Linked DNA regions of Drosophila melanogaster. The protein of the gene in region 1 interacts with the protein of each later gene in a pairwise test. Each region holds a gene or a part of one and is shown on either strand. Other genes may lie near its edges.

Region 1 (6,680 bases):
ACTGGGATGCAGCCGGGCGGAATTCGAGCAGCTGCCCATCTGGAAACAGACCAAGCTGAAGAAGGAGCGAGGGCTGTTTTAGGAGAGAGGCAGGCACAATGCAACTTTATAGACTTGAACACAATCACAAAACACAAACCAAGCACTTTTATAAGCACTTTTTGTAGGCGGCGATGCTTTTGCAACGGACACAGACACAGATCTGAACTATCGTATTCTATAGGCCTATTTAGTATATCATATACACACGTGCGCATATCCCTATGTACTCTCTATTTTACACATATTACATAGCCTTTATATATGTAACGACTACTATGCAAGTGCACGATGCCAGGCAATAAATTTCAACTCGCTTCATTCGGTAGCTGTGCGGAGTTTGGAGTTCTTCTATTATATCGTATACCTGTACATAATATTAAGTTGAGTTGTTTTACCATTATTTTATTTAATATTTTATCGATTTAACGAAATTGCATTTGTTCAATCTCTGCAAACACCAAAAAGCCAACGAGCTCTCTCGTTATGTCATTGTTTTCAATTCGAAATCATTTTAATGTTAGCTTTATTTCCCTAATTTTATAACTATGTATTTGTGTTTATAATATGTTAAAAATTATTGCGCATATTTAATTTTTATTAAATAACATTTCATTATATTTTAACTTTCCGTTGGGTTTTTTTTTATTTGGGTGACCAGGGGAATGATCACCTTGAACTGTTCTGGAATTTCTGTTCGCCGCGCAAAAGTATGCAATCAAATCGTAGACTTTTTTAAAAGTTTACCCAACAACAAACAAAATGTGCTGAAATTGTGATATAGCTAGTTTATTTTACATAATTTAGTTAAACTATTCCCTAGGCCTATACTGTAAGATTTTGGACAATCCGTGTCATGTGAGTCTTAGATGCGAGCTCAGAGAATTAACTATTTTTAAATTTAGAATCCAACGCTACTTCTTCGCTTCGCTACTTAAGCGGATGCCAAGTGGATTTCCCGGATGAGTCGGGAGACCAGTTCGCAGCAGGCCTTTTGCCTGTTCTTGGCCACAGCCATAACCTAGATGGTGATAAACATGAAAGTTAGTGGCTTAATTTAATCAACTAGTAGGACTCTAGGAACTCACCTCATCGTGGTTGGCCTCATCGTCCTTCTTATCGCTGTACTCGGTGGCGCACTTATTTGTGATGAGGCTGAAGGCGAATACCTTCATGTCGCAGTGCCGTGCAGTGATGACCTCATGTACGGTGGACATGCCCACCGCATCCACGCCCATCATGCGCAGGGCCTTCAGCTCGGCGATGGTCTCGTAGTTGGGACCACCCAGACAGGAGTATACGCCGACGTGAATGTTGGACTCTATGCCCATGGCCTTGGCGATCTCGATGGCCTTGTTGATTAGGTCCTTGTTGTACGAGTTCACCAGGGCGGGAAAGCGGGGTCCGAAGCGTGGGTCATTGGGTCCCTGGAGCGGAGAATTTCCGGCAAAGCCCAGCATGTTGACATGGTCATGCATCAGCATGATGTCGCCCACCGCGAACCGTGGATTGATTCCACCAGCCGCATTGGTGGCGAACAGGTATTCCACACCGCACAGCTTCATCACGCGAACCGGCATTGAGCACTTGGCCAGCGGATAGCCCTCGTAGAAGTGGAACCTGCCCTGCATCGCCATCACAGTGGCGCCCTCGAGTGTGCCGACCACCAGTCGTCCGGCATGGCCCTCAACTGTAGATACCGGGAAGTTGGGGATCTTCTCATACTCGAAGATCTTCGGGTCCTGGATCATATCGGCCAATGAGCCTAGCCCAGAGCCGCAGATGATGCCGATCTTGGGGCGCATGCCGGACCCCTTGGTAATGAAGTCGGCGATCTCCTCGATGACCTCATAGGGATACCTGTCGAAAACCAAAATTAGTTTTACATCTTGTTTGGGTGAGTATTGCAGGGTGATCTTTGAACTAATAAAAGTGTAAACAATATACGAGTGAACTGCGATAAATTTGGGTGGGTACATGTTAACAGGCCAGAGATCCTTTTTATCTACTCGCCACGATGGTAAACAATGAAATGAAGAATGGAATTCCCAGAGGGAACAAAAAAGATACATTTACCAATTGATGAAGTTCCACACACAGGAATATAATTAGATTCAATTCACCAATCGAAGTTTTATCAAAACAAATAATTCATTTATGTACAATCAGTTCGATGATATGATAAGAAAACAACACAAATATTATACAGTGAGAACTCAGAAGACTAAAAACTTTAGAGATCATGGACACATGAATTCATTATCGAATTACATAGATATTCTTAAAAAGGACAAAAACAAAAATCGAATTTATGGATAAGAATATCTTTGAAGAACTGAAAGTGTCTTCTTGAAGATTCTTATCAGCCTTATGCCAATCACAGTACTGTGAATACATGTATTTTAATAATAAAGTAAATGACAATTGAACACAGAGAAACAGAACTCAGAAGAATTGGTCTACAAACGTGTCTTCGTTGAGAACCCGAAGGGCTCTTAGCTCTTCGTGCGTAAGCTCGCATTGGATTTTTCCATTTCCGCTGCAATTGTGGAAAAGATTTGTTGCTGAGTAGGTTGGCAAAGGTTTGTGATAAACGGATATGAAGGCATCCAGATAAGGACCCCCTATCATTTATGGTTTTTCTTGGCAATCAAAAGAATGTGGTAACATTGTCATGACTCGCTTGCTATTATCGAGTAACTTGAAAACAGCAATTAAGTGCTATTAGAGCCATAAAGAATTCACCTGGTTCTGGGTTAAATTGCTCGAACTTGAACTGCAAGTCGAGTTATGTTAAGATGTTGTTACCAAAACTGAACTCACGACCTCCCACGTGTTTGTTTTCGGATCAGTTCAAATGATTTGATAAGCCGGGCATGAGACGATGCTAAGCATTATCAGTATTACATGGAAAAAACAAAAGCTGGCCTTCGAACAGTAAACATAAAGTGCGTCATTAAGACGGGAACATATAATCACGCATAACTTGCACTAATTGGGAACTTTATTCACAATTCCTTAATAAATTGGTCTTTCAGTAGCCAGACATTTATGGAAATTTGATCTAAACACGCGACGCGGCTTTTTCGCCGCTTCATCAATATTCAGCATTGTGATTCCATCGGAATGGAAACTAGTTTCGAAATTAATCAATGCGGCAACATGTTTTAGTTGCGTTCTTTATCGAACCATTGGCCAATTACCCGTATCTGAGGCAAAGATTACGAAGTGGAGGCCTATGTCAAGATCAGGGAACACACCCGTTTTGCGCAGCCAATCAGCGGGAGCCGATTTCCCAGTTAACTTGGCCATTAAACACTTACATAAGCAGTTGGCAATCTTGGCTTTTTTATCAGCAAAATGTTTGGTACACAGAGAAAATATAAATAATTAAAACAAGGCACTCTGAAGAGCGCCCAGCTGCTTAAAACGTGCTCTAAAAATATTAACTCTAAAATAATGAGGAAATTAGTTAATTAAAAAAATATTTCCTGAACACTTGACTCTTTCGAATACATATACGTTTTCTACTGTGTATTTCTACCTAGGCGAAACCACTCCATATAATCATATGCAGATTAAAGATTCTTCGAATGGGATTTTAATGAGTAGCCAGCGTCGACTGACGAAAATTGATAAGCCTGGAATACTGGAATGTCTATATTCAAATTCAAGAGATCTAAGTTGAGCTCGTTTCTTGATAGCGGCGGAAAGATCAAGGACACGATCCAGCTCCGTCACTTGAATTTTGATTTAGATTGCCCGAAGTAAACAAAGTTTGGACTTACAGCAGACTTTCTGGAGTTGGTATGATATCTGGCCAATTTGTATTATTGATGGCGGTTTTGGTGCCAGCCTTGCCTTTGGGATTCGAACAGCAATTGGCGTTACACATTTTGGGGCCGAGGGATATAGTTTTTGGGTATCGAACGAACGAACGAACCAGACTGACAGCTAAGGATAGGCCTAATTGGACACCAAAATCAACTTACAGCAGGCTCTGTGGAGTGGGTATGATCTTCTCGCCAGTGAGACTGCCGGCCTTGGCGCCCTTCTTGTCCGAGCAAGTGTTGCCTCGATTGGAGCCACCTGGTCCGGAGCAACAGTCGCGGGAGCACATTCTGCGGGTTAGTTGGAGGTCTTAGCCCTTACAACTACGTACTAGGCAGCGAATTTTGGATGGAGTCTGTGCCTGAATTTGGTTTCCTGTAGGCCGAAGCGAGTTTCCTAAATGACTGATTCAGTCATAGAGTGAGGCTACTGGCAGGGCCTACTGGATAGCCAAGGCCATATCGATTTGGCCCCTTGAAAAGCGGGTCACAAAAGCTTTAGCATGGAAGGAAGGGAGAGGGGCGTGCAGAAGGACAGGTGGTGCAGTGCAGTGGGGTTAAGGCGAAGCCGCGAAGCATTGAAGCCAGAACTATTGGAAGTTTCAATTAAAGCTGATTGTAGTTAACGAGCCGCTGGCGTGAGGGCCTCCGATATAATACCCCCTTTTTATGTCGGCTCGAACTTCGAACCAACAACTCTCCCCACTTACGTGGGATTCTCCTGGGCGGTGTAGTCCGCCGACTTGTGTCCATTGCTGTGTCCATTGGTTCCATTTGTTCCCTTCGTGTTTCCATTTCCATTGCTGTGTCCATTGCCATTGGCCACCTTGTAACCCGTCATTGTGCAGCTGAAGTTGGAGATGCTCTTGCTCAATCGAAATACACTGCAATTATATAATCGCCTCGGACGCGCTTCTTCTGGTTATGCAAATGTGAATTTCGCGCTTCAAGTTATGATAAAATCAACTGTGCACGTTTTCTATTTCGCGAATCAAAACTAATTTAGAAATCTGGAACTGGAATTCCTTTTGTAATCTCGTTACGTTTCACAAATGATATTTTATGACCGCGTCCAGAACTCGATGATATGGTATGCACATATATGTGGTATGGTACTATGTGCACTTTCTTCACGTTTGTTGCCTGCTCGACCGCTGATTGTAAAGTGAACGCTGCCGTCTGGTGGACGAGGGTTTATAAACTGGAGCTCCGGCGCAGTCGACGTCGTACTGCTTCAGGAAAAGATTCTGTTTCTGACTTTGATTCGGCTTCGGATTTGGGTTCGGAATCGAAATCGGAATCTCGGGGATGCAGAGCGACGCTCTGTCGAGCCTCTGCCGGCGCTGGTTGTTCAGCATTCAATTTGAAATCGTTTAGCGCGAATATTGCCGGAATCGTTGCTCCTAACTAATTGAATTGAGCAAATTTAAATATTTAAAAGAAAGTGTGTGACGGAGAAGGAAAACAACTCTTTTAGTTACACATTCGATAAGAAACGTGAGAGAGGACCATAAATGATTTCGCAAAAGTGTTTACGATAAGATTTTTATGGACTTCTGATATGATATGGTATAGCTCTTTGAGAAACACCTGGGAAGCACAAGTGAATTAAGTCAACTTTATAGAGAAATATTGTCATTTGTCAATTGTTTTAAGAAACACAATATTCGCCAAGCAAAATAATCTGTGAATCTATTTTTAAATCATTTTCAAAAACATGCCACTTGCCGAGAATTTTCTATAATTCGTACACTAACCTCTGACTTGGCTTATCAGTTGGCTAGTCGGAAAGTTTTACCAGGTCATCAGACACCTTGGGATCAACACGATTTGGTCTGTTGTAATATGGAATCGCTTTTGAATCACCCAGCAACCCATTCATCACTGCGATAAGGGATTTGCCAAGCAGATCCCAGTCGCACCCGTAAGTACTTAACCTAATAATGAGATCTTTAGCAAAACAATAAGCCTGAAAAAAGTGTGAAAATAAAATCAACACTGATAAGGATGCAACATGAAAGAGCTTATCACTTCATGGGGGGGCACATATTTGTCGTGTGCGCTTAGTCGCAGTGACTTTGATGGCAATAGCATAGTATTATTCCTGTAAACAACTTTGATAGCATTACGCAAAAGTGCAATCAGCATCAGATGCACATGGAAATGCACAATATTATTTGAATACCCAGACAGTTAAAAAATTACAGCTTACAGTTTATCAAGGAAAATGCTATTACTCTTACTAGACACTTGCTGTTTTCGAGTAATAATCAATTTCGGAATCGAAAAAATAGTACATATATATGTTTCTAAGTTCTCTGTTCGTAAAAGTATTTTTCAATTTCACTTATCAACCGTAGGCAGAAATTTAATCAAAACAAGATTCCGTGAGAACTATATTTAAATGGAAACAAAGCCGAGGTTTGAATACTCTGAATAATCATATTTTATCCAACCAAAATCGAAACATTAGTTAGAGACCATAAAAACTGACCTCTGCGCAAGATGCAGGCAACCCAAGTCAGTGGAAAATTCCCAGATGATAAGAAAAAACCCCACGAATGTTTAAAAATGTTCCATTCATGTTTCCGTGGAAGATTCGAGACTCAGTCTCCGAATTTTGTATCTGTTGGTGGCCTCTTCCCATGAAGCATGTATGTACATATCTTCCTATGTTCGATTTTCGACTGACTTTCCCATTTTCCCAGCTTGTGCAGTACAACAAACCCATTAAGATGTTGTTTTTAAAACAGGATTACAGATAAGAGATTGTCAGGCGAGTAAACAAGAAATTCATTTCATATTTAGGTT
Region 2 (3,821 bases), 9.0 Mb from region 1:
GGCATCGCCATCTCTGGTAATCTGTGCTGCTTCGCACCGAAATTATCTTCATCGCTCATACGCCGCGTGGCCCGGGAAATGCATGAAAATTGTCACTTATATTCGTGGTAATTGTTGTTGCCTGCCTGCCTGCCTGTTGTCCCAAATGATAAATGACCGAGAAGACCCCCGTTCTCCGCCATTCACAACATTTGTCCAAACGCCCAACGTCTACATAAATGTATATCTATTAGCATTTATCTTGGTCTCGGACCCGGACAAGTTTCGCCTGACTCAAGAATTAATCATGTGGCAATTATGCTGTGGCAACAGTTCTTCCACAGCATCCATTTGCACACACACATACACTATGAGGCTCCTTTGGCCATTTCCTCTAAGGGCTATCTGCGACATCGTCGAATTGCCACCCAGTGGGAAACTCAACTAAATCATTGTGTCAGAAATTATGCCATGCCTTTACAGCCCGCTTATTTATGTATCTAAATAAAGTAGCATGGATTAAATCAGGTATGCCAACACTACGTCCTAAAATCGATCCATACTTTTTGGATAAACGATCAACTAAATGTTCTCATAGCGTTGAAAAATGAAATGAAATAAATGCTCAACTAAATGTTCTCATAGCGTTGAAAAATGAAATTTAGTGGAAAAAAGTGCAAGTGTAGAAACTAATTAATTTCAAAGCTAACTCTTTGTTAGGTGATACACTTAGATTTATAAACCATACATTAAATGTTTTAAATTTGCAGAATATTTCAGATGGTCAGTGCTTTTCTAGCTAGAAAGTTGCGAAGTCTCGATCGGAACTTCCTTCTCAGTGGGTGCAATGGAGGACTTTTCCGGCAGGAACTCAATCGGGCGTAACAGGTGCTTCTTGCAGCTATTCAACTGATCGCCGTTATCCTCATCGTCGGAGGACACCTCACTGCCACACCTCATTCTAACGGGCAGCTTAACCGCATCGATTGGCAAATGACCCAGGCAATCGAAACCCACATAGCCCAACTTATAGCTGGCCACAGCATTGGCGAAGTCCACGGCTTCGGCCAATCGCCTTTGCCGCACAAAAGCGGCATAAATGAAGCCCGCCGTGAAGCAATCACTATCGCCCACCCGATCGATGATCTTTTTCGGCTTGTGTGCTGGCACTTCGAAGTACTCCCCTTCCGTGGTCATACATCCTGCTCCCAGGCTGCTCCACGGCACAATGATGCAGGGTCTGCGAATTCTAATGTTCCTTGGCATGCGCAGTAGCGCATTGACACCCTCGCAGGCTTCCAGCGGTGACTTCCAGCCTCTGGACTCGGCTATATACTTGGTGACGAACACATAGTCGCACATGGCAATCAGATGCACGACCTGTTCGAAGGAATTGAAAATCTGCAACGATACCACTATCCGATCCCGTTCATCCCGCCCGTTGTTGTGATCGAGGATTAGGCGTATCATATCGCAAGTTTCACGTGGACTCCGTGCCTCAAAATTCACCCAGCCGTATTGATCGAGATCCAATTTGCGGAAATCCGCTGCCGTAACATATGGAAATGACTTGTCGCAATACACCACCGTGCAACGACGCGTCCAGCGATCTTGGACAATTGTGGAAAAGGGAGGACTTGCGTCCGTGAATGTACAATGGCTAATATCAATGCCCCGCTGCTCGAGATCATCCAGAATCATGCGATAGGTGGGATTACGGGTGAGCACACCGAACAACTCCACATTGGCGCCCAACAGACGCAGGGCCGTACTAACATTCGAGGATCTTCCGCTGCGCTGAAGCATTCCATTCTGGGTGCTGCACCTGTCGCACTGGAAGTCGACCTTATCCATGGTGGTCACGTAGTCCACCTCCGTGCAGCCGACGCAGAGCACGGCCTTCATTACACTGATAGCACACCATTGCGTCATCCTGGCGATTGTCTAAAGCTCTGATTTCGTATCCAGATCCTCCTCTACTTCTTTCTTCGATTCTCTGCCCTTAATTTAAATCGATCATAATTTGTTTTTTTGATTTTGAATAACTCTTGACAAATGATTGAATCGTTAGGTATGGACTTGTAGATCTCTATTATGGAGTGGAAAGCATTTTTAATCCAAATTTCTATATCATATCAGCCACGTACTTTTTGGAAAACTGATTTTAAAAAATTTTAAATTTTAAAAGCAATATTCAATATGACTCAATATGGCCACAAACTGAGCTGGGCTGTTGGCAAAAAGACGGTGTTGTGCATCGGCACAACGACCATTGACTTTGTCTCGACCATAAAACGTTTTCCCGAGGAGAACTCACATCAGAAGGTCATTGGAGGATACTGGATTCGCGGTGGCAAGGCCTCGAACAACTGTACTGTTTTGGCCAATCTGGGCGTCAAAGTGGAGTTCCTAGGAATGCTGAGCAGTTGGAGTGTGTTTCAAGTTCTGGTCGATGACTTGAAGAGTCGTGGCATCATTATCGACAACTGTCCAACCTGTGACCAGGGTGCACCCTTCTCATCCGTGATACTCACCAAGGCGACTAAGACGCGGAACATTGTCTATTGCAATAATAACTTCCCGTACGTTAGCATTGATGATTTCCGAAAGCTGAACCTTAACCAATATGGATGGATTCACATTCGGGCACTATACTTTGATAAGTCATTGCCGATGGTCAAGGACATAGAGGCATATAATGCGAACAGAAAGGAGAAGATCGTACTATCGATGGAGTTCGATAACAACCTGGATGACATGTGGCCTCTGATGGATTACTGTGACTATGCCGTATTCTCTAAGAAGTTGGCCCAACCGAATGGTTGGGTTTCTCTGGAGGATGCCTGCATGCAGCTGGACGAGCGATTGCGAATGCGTTGGGGCCTTAATCTCAAGCGACCATATGTGGTCGTCCTTTGGGGCGATCAGGGTGCCGGCATCTTGGATCTCAATGGTAACTTCACCCACGTCAAGCCGCACAAGCCCAAACGCATCGTGGACGCCTTGGGAGCAGGAGACACCTTCGTGGGCGCTTTCATCTACGCCCTCTATATCCGGGAAAGATCCGTTTCAGTTGCCGTGGACTTTGGCAATCGCATGGCCAGCTACAAGTGCACGAAAAATGGGTACGATCATATCGCTAACATTTTACTGCCTCCGATCTTATAATTGGGTCGAAATTGAATTTCTCATTTCGAAAATTTTTCAGAAAACAGATCAAAAGAATGAGGCTGTAGTTAAAATAAAAATCTCCTCTTGGACTTCGACTTCATCTTATTTAATACTTTAATCACAGCCACCATTCAATGGAATGGAATTACTGGAAAAAAATGGCACAAAGAAACTATCGCATGCTTTTCACCCTTTTTAAACCGAGCATTTATTACGTATCCGCACCGTTGGTAGATAATACAATAATTACCCTTGCAGACGCTCGGCCAAAAGTGTATCGACCATAAATTATGGGATAAACACACTTTCGTGCTACCGCCTTTTAACCGGAATTTCCAAATTGATTGCAAAACGAACCTGCAATGTCATTTATTTTTTCCTCGCCGAAAAGGGTTCAAAAGTTTTTCATTCACATATACGTATACCTTTTGTTGTTTACCCTTGGTCACTTGAATTATGGCCAGATTATTTAAATAAATAGGAGTCGTTCGTTCACGAAATGGAACAGCAGGTGACCAAACTGTCTCTGTTTCGAGCCGATAAATAAATAAATAGAAATAATGGATTGCGTACAGATTATGCAAATGTCGGCCAAGGCAAATTCTTAATTAGAGATTTACCGAGTCCAATTCAAATCAAAATCAATAAGCCCCTTGATTTTTGAACTTTGC

Evidence for each region.
Region 2: the proteins of CG16758 (region 1) and CG12289 interact in a two-hybrid assay, tested with the Drosophila melanogaster proteins (one large-scale study listed by BioGRID).

What each region holds. Positions count from the first base shown.
Region 1 is NT_037436.4:2,498,564-2,505,243, forward strand, and holds CG16758 (uncharacterized protein), read right to left. Parts: upstream 5,044-6,680; 5' UTR 4,711-5,043; coding exon 4,580-4,710; intron 4,253-4,579; exon of another isoform or gene 4,161-4,252; coding exon 4,032-4,160; exon of another isoform or gene 3,935-4,031; coding exon of another isoform or gene 3,828-3,934; intron 2,579-3,827; coding exon 2,507-2,578; intron 1,900-2,506; coding exon 1,128-1,899; intron 1,061-1,127; coding exon 974-1,060; 3' UTR 809-973; downstream 1-808. Other genes in the region: Svil (supervillin), read left to right, coding at 1-82.
Region 2 is NT_037436.4:11,456,382-11,460,202, forward strand, and holds CG12289 (uncharacterized protein), read right to left. Parts: upstream 2,090-3,821; 5' UTR 1,912-2,089; coding exon 775-1,911; 3' UTR 695-774; downstream 1-694. Other genes in the region: CG7551 (uncharacterized protein), read left to right, coding at 2,179-3,147.